Saccharomyces cerevisiae S288C: one gene and its partner. Changing the gene in region 1 together with any one later gene gives a genetic interaction. Each region holds a gene or a part of one and is shown on either strand. Other genes may lie near its edges.

Evidence for each region. Genes that interact genetically often act in the same process or in processes that back each other up.
Region 2: mutations in HSM3 (region 1) and NAS2 impair growth when combined (synthetic growth defect), as found in Saccharomyces cerevisiae (4 studies listed by BioGRID, with this or other methods).

Annotation. Positions count from the first base shown.
Region 1 is NC_001134.8:746,166-749,925, reverse strand, and holds HSM3 (Hsm3p), read left to right. Parts: upstream 1-2,122; coding exon 2,123-3,565; downstream 3,566-3,760. Other genes in the region: serine/threonine protein kinase CHK1, read right to left, coding at 1-332; UBX7 (Ubx7p), read left to right, coding at 555-1,865. UniProt on the Saccharomyces cerevisiae protein: Involved in DNA mismatch repair in slow-growing cells. Acts as a chaperone during the assembly of the 26S proteasome, specifically of the base subcomplex of the 19S regulatory complex (RC).
Region 2 is NC_001141.2:342,357-345,484, forward strand, and holds NAS2 (Nas2p), read right to left. Parts: upstream 1,301-3,128; coding exon 638-1,300; downstream 1-637. Other genes in the region: ubiquitin-related modifier URM1, read left to right, coding at 180-479; YIA6 (NAD+ transporter), read left to right, coding at 1,706-2,827. UniProt on the Saccharomyces cerevisiae protein: Acts as a chaperone during the assembly of the 26S proteasome, specifically of the base subcomplex of the 19S regulatory complex (RC).

The DNA.
Region 1 (3,760 bases):
ACGTCAGGCTCAATCTTATCAAATAGATCACCACCATCTGCCATCTCCAGAATTATCCACATATATTCTTTAGAGACATTACAATCGATAAGTCTCAAAACATTAGGATGCTTAGAACACTTCGATTGCAAAACAACCTCTTTTGTGATATCCTTGTCACTGAGTCCCATTTTTTTGCAAGTGGGAACATGAATGAATTTAACAGCTAGAATAATGGAGGGATCCATTTGAAGATGAGCATTTTTAACGCAGGCGAATGCGCCTTGGCCTACTGTATCTCCTAAAACAACATCCTTGATATGGGGTAAAGGTGACACCTGCGAGAGACTCATAGTAATACGTGCTGCCCATATACAGCAACTTATGATATACTCTTATGTTTGAAGCTGTAGTTGTTTTTATTTGCCATTCAATTATTAAAATGACATTTAAAGCCGCTCTTTATTAACTTCGGCAGGCCTCGTAGTAATGTTGAAAATTTAAAAGGGAGCTGGGTTGAGGTTGAAAGCACTTACAAAGAAGCAAGGATAGCTAAACCAAACAGCCGTAACCAAATGTTAGAAGCACTGTTTAGAGATTCTGTGGAAGAAGCAATAAACGATTCCATCAAGGAAGGCGTTGTGCTGGCCGTTTACAACACTGCACGGGATGACCAGTGGCTGAAAAGTTGGTTTAAAGGAGATGATGTCTCATTAGATACTTTAGCGGAACATAGTATTTGGTTGAGGTTGGTCAAAGACACTGAGCAGTTCCAGTTATTTGAGCAAGTATTTCCTAATGTAGTTGTACCCAGTATATACTTGATACGTGCTGGAAAGATAGAATTGATTATTCAAGGCGAGGATGACCGACATTGGGAGAAGTTGCTGGCGTGCATAGGCATCAAAGACAAAAAGGCTGGTGAGAGTTCGTCCAGGGAAACCAATCCAGGTTTGGCTAGAGAAGAAAAGTCATCCAGAGACGTCCATAGGAAAAATGCAAGAGAACGGATTGCTGAGACTACCTTAGAGATCCAACGTCGTGAACAACTGAAACAAAGAAAGCTGGCTGAGGAGGAAAGAGAAAGAATTATAAGACTTGTTAGGGCAGACCGTGCAGAAAGAAAAGCTCTTGATGAAACTCATCACAGAACCCTTGATGATGATAAGCCATTGGATGTTCATGATTACATAAAAGACGCACAAAAACTGCACAGCAGCAAATGCGTCTTGCAAATCAGGATGACTGATGGCAAGACTCTAAAACATGAGTTCAACTCGTCTGAAACATTAAATGACGTTAGAAAATGGGTGGACGTCAACAGGACAGATGGAGACTGCCCGTACTCATTCCACAGGGGCATTCCCAGAGTGACATTTAAGGATTCTGATGAATTGAAGACGCTAGAGACACTAGAACTAACTCCAAGGTCTGCATTATTACTTAAACCACTAGAAACTCAAAACTCGGGGCTATCTGTGACTGGGATGGAGGGACCAAGCCTTTTGGGCCGTCTTTATAAGGGATTCTCTACGTGGTGGCACAACGATAAAGATCCTGAAGTAACATCACAACGTGAGGAAACATCGAAGCCGAATCGTCACGAAGTGAGGTCTTCAACACCTTTATCTGGAGCTGCTTCGTCAAGCTGTTTCCAATACAACAATGTTCGGGAACCAGTTCAATCATCTGCTCATGCATCACCAATGCTGACACCTAGCGGAACCAGGTACCCATCGGAAACCAACCTTACTACGTCACGTTCTGTCTCGCCAAATGTTTTCCAATTTGTTAACAACGATCATCAAGAAGATCCTGAAGACCCAACAACCTTTAATGGTAATAATGTCCATTTAGAAAAGAAAAAGGACGAAGATAAAAAATAAGTAGTTAATGGCTTCAACTCCATTTATGACTAGTATTAGACGTGAATTTTTTTTGATTAGATTACATAAAAAAATATACAGTAATTTTATTTACATGGATTTTTGTTATAGCTGGTATTTTTATATCTTTTTTTCTGTTTCAAATGCATATAGAAAAATTGAAGAGTAAGTTTATATAAACACCTTAATTACGGGATTAAAAATAAAACAAGTTTACAACTATAATCACCGCAAAAGAACTCAGCGAAACAGGAGCAATGAGTGAGAAAGAAACAAATTACGTGGAAAATCTCCTTACGCAATTAGAAAATGAACTTAATGAAGATAACTTGCCTGAAGATATCAACACACTATTAAGGAAATGTTCTTTGAATCTTGTGACTGTTGTCTCCCTTCCAGATATGGATGTTAAACCACTACTGGCTACGATCAAGCGTTTTCTGACGTCTAACGTATCCTATGATTCATTGAATTACGATTACCTTTTGGACGTTGTGGACAAGCTTGTTCCCATGGCTGATTTTGACGATGTTCTAGAAGTTTATAGCGCGGAGGACTTAGTGAAGGCCCTTAGGTCAGAAATAGATCCATTAAAAGTAGCAGCATGTAGAGTCATTGAGAATTCGCAGCCAAAGGGTTTATTCGCGACCAGTAATATCATCGATATTCTATTGGATATTCTATTTGATGAGAAAGTGGAGAATGATAAGCTCATTACAGCAATCGAAAAAGCGTTGGAAAGGTTGAGTACAGATGAATTGATTAGGCGTCGATTATTTGATAATAATTTGCCATACCTGGTGAGCGTAAAGGGTAGAATGGAAACGGTTTCTTTTGTCAGATTAATTGACTTCTTGACTATTGAGTTTCAATTCATCAGCGGTCCTGAGTTCAAGGATATCATATTTTGCTTTACTAAAGAAGAGATACTGAAATCCGTTGAAGATATCCTCGTTTTCATCGAATTGGTTAATTATTATACTAAGTTTTTGCTGGAAATACGAAATCAAGATAAATACTGGGCTTTAAGACATGTAAAAAAAATACTGCCAGTATTTGCTCAACTTTTTGAAGACACGGAGAACTATCCTGATGTCAGGGCCTTTTCTACAAATTGTCTTTTACAGTTATTCGCAGAGGTGTCACGAATTGAGGAAGATGAATATTCTTTATTCAAGACTATGGACAAAGATTCTTTAAAAATTGGGTCCGAAGCAAAATTAATAACCGAGTGGTTGGAATTAATTAATCCGCAGTACTTGGTAAAATATCATAAAGATGTGGTCGAAAACTATTTTCACGTCAGTGGCTACAGCATTGGAATGTTGAGAAATCTTTCAGCAGATGAAGAATGTTTCAATGCTATAAGAAACAAGTTTAGTGCTGAGATTGTCTTAAGACTACCGTACTTAGAACAAATGCAAGTAGTAGAAACCTTGACGAGATACGAATACACTTCAAAATTTCTGCTCAATGAGATGCCAAAGGTGATGGGCAGCTTGATAGGTGATGGGAGCGCAGGTGCTATTATAGATCTTGAGACTGTGCATTATAGGAATTCTGCCTTGAGAAATTTACTGGACAAAGGTGAAGAAAAGTTAAGTGTATGGTATGAACCTTTATTGCGAGAATACTCCAAAGCAGTTAACGGAAAAAATTATTCCACAGGCAGTGAAACTAAGATTGCAGATTGCAGATGATTATGTTGCATAAGCGCAACTATAAAGGCGGCCTTGATTGTTTAATGTACTACCAGTATTGATTCCTGTCTGAATCAAAAACTAACCTTTTGGCGAGGTGGCCCATTCAGTTTTCTTCTCCATAAATTGTATAAATCAGTATGTAAGGTCTGGCAAGTACTTATAATTCACATTTCAATGTCTATGTAGCATGCA
Region 2 (3,128 bases), on another chromosome or scaffold:
TTTTTTTTAATTACATTGTCGCCCACTTCGGCAGAAAAAATATAACGACAAAGTAATGGCATCGCATCGACCTAATGAAATACTACTGGCAGACGGTATGGAGAGCTCAAAAATTCCCAAAGCAGAAAACAATACTGATTTCTGATACTAAAACGAGATAGGTTAATAGCAAAATCGGGATGGTAAACGTGAAAGTGGAGTTTCTAGGTGGACTTGATGCTATTTTTGGAAAACAAAGAGTACATAAAATTAAGATGGACAAAGAAGATCCTGTCACAGTGGGCGATTTGATTGACCACATTGTATCTACTATGATCAATAACCCTAATGACGTTAGTATCTTCATCGAAGATGATTCTATAAGACCCGGTATCATCACATTAATCAACGACACCGATTGGGAGCTCGAAGGCGAAAAAGACTACATATTGGAAGACGGTGACATCATCTCTTTTACTTCAACATTACATGGTGGTTAAAAATAGCAGCAAATAATTTTTAAGAAGCAGCTACATATATATATATAAAGTGCTGTACAGCTTGAATGAATCACAAGTTAGATAACGTAGGTAATATGCAGATAGTATAAAAAGTAATAGTAATAACTGGATTGGTTTTTTTTAGTACATGACGAAGATTATAGCTCTTGTATCCTACAACCCAAAAGACCTCTACCATTCCAGTTTCTCGAAGGTGTTAGCGATGTCTTTAGGATTTGCCCTTCTCTCAAGAGAAGGACGGGAAGTGGCCTGTCTTCATTTTTCATTACAACCATCTGAATGTTTTGAAGTTTAGAGTGGTTTGCCGCATGCACATTACCAATAGAAATCAGCTTATCATCAACCTTTATGTCTGCTTTATCTGAAGGGCTACCGGGTACTACCTCACTGATAAATGCAAAAGGGATGGTATACTGAATAGCTTGATCGTCGTTATTCCTTCTTGCATCTTGGTTTGACTTAACGTTCATATTATCAAAGTGCTGGTTTAGTAAGACGTGTGATCTTTGCAAAAGGTGATTTAAATCATTCTTCAGCATATTAACATTCTTTCTGATCATAGTGACTTGCAATACATCGACATCCGAACGAGGATACCCGTCTGGCGTCACCAACGCAGAGTCCATGCCGATGCCTTGCTGCTCAAGCACACTGAAATACGCCTCTAGTTGTGTCTCAATATCTGTCTTTAGAACCATCAATTCCGACAGTTTGAAGCTGTCTATTTGACTAATTCTTGATGTTAGGCTCGGATCTATCTTAACATTGGCCAACAATTTACTTAATTCTTCTTCCTCCATTGTAGTTCGTTCTTATTCTAATTCTTGCTCCTTTTTACTCTGGTGATAACTTTTCTATCTCTCAATGCTGAACATTTTTTTTCCCTTTATTATCCAATATTCCAACCGTTATAAAGTAAGCCTTATCGAACACAATCCACGGCGCACGCAAGGGACAGCAAATTTCGAGAATTAATGAATAGCCAGTAGTAAGATCCGTATTGATAAAGGTCATAGATCCCAACCTTTATGTGAGCCAGCCCGAAGGGCCCTTTAAATGACTCTCATAATATGGTCCAATAGCACCAATTTCTAGGGGTTACCCACCGGCCTAGTGCTTAATCGAATTCTGAAAAGAATCTCTACTACAGACTGCCAACCGTAATAGTAGTGAGATCAACACTGAAGGCAGCAGTCTTTAGCACAATGACACAGACTGATAATCCTGTCCCCAACTGCGGTTTACTGCCCGAGCAGCAGTATTGCTCTGCAGACCATGAAGAGCCACTGTTGTTGCATGAAGAACAATTGATATTCCCTGATCATTCCTCCCAACTGTCCTCAGCAGATATCATCGAGCCCATCAAGATGAACAGCAGTACTGAGTCAATTATAGGGACAACGCTGCGAAAGAAATGGGTACCACTATCCTCAACTCAGATCACAGCTCTTTCCGGCGCATTTGCTGGATTCTTATCAGGTGTGGCAGTATGTCCCCTCGATGTTGCCAAAACGCGATTGCAAGCACAAGGACTACAAACTAGGTTCGAGAACCCCTACTATAGGGGGATAATGGGGACATTAAGTACTATAGTAAGAGACGAAGGCCCGCGGGGCCTCTACAAAGGGCTGGTACCGATTGTCCTGGGCTACTTCCCAACCTGGATGATATACTTCTCCGTGTATGAATTCAGCAAAAAGTTCTTTCACGGCATCTTCCCACAGTTTGATTTTGTTGCTCAGTCATGTGCTGCAATCACGGCAGGCGCTGCATCTACCACCTTGACCAACCCAATCTGGGTTGTGAAGACAAGACTTATGCTGCAATCAAACCTCGGTGAGCACCCCACACATTACAAAGGCACTTTCGATGCATTCAGAAAGCTATTTTATCAGGAAGGGTTTAAAGCATTATATGCGGGGCTGGTCCCCTCATTATTAGGGCTATTTCATGTGGCTATCCATTTCCCTATATACGAAGATTTGAAGGTAAGATTTCACTGCTATTCTCGGGAGAACAACACCAACTCCATCAACTTGCAACGGTTGATCATGGCATCGTCCGTCTCTAAGATGATTGCATCAGCAGTAACATATCCGCACGAAATTTTACGAACCAGAATGCAACTGAAATCAGATATACCAGATTCCATTCAACGACGTCTGTTCCCCCTCATTAAAGCAACTTATGCACAAGAGGGACTAAAGGGATTTTATTCTGGATTTACTACTAACCTAGTACGAACCATTCCGGCCTCGGCAATCACTCTAGTGTCCTTTGAGTATTTCAGAAACCGCCTAGAAAATATTAGCACTATGGTAATTTAAAGCCTTAAAATTCACACACGCCACACATTGAGTGTGCTATGAATATGCCTGCGCTAATATTTTAGGTATTACAGCTTGTAAATATACCAAATAAGGTAAGCCTCTCTTTTCCTAATACTAAAAGGATTTGCATCGAACAGCCCACCAAATGCTTTGCGCACACATTATATACACCCACATGATTCTATAGACAAAATATACTTATACATTTTCATAGTCTTGACAATATTCTACATTGGCCGTTTTCTTGGCACTATTTTAGCTTATCCTTACCAAAATAGTCTCTTTTTTAAATACTATT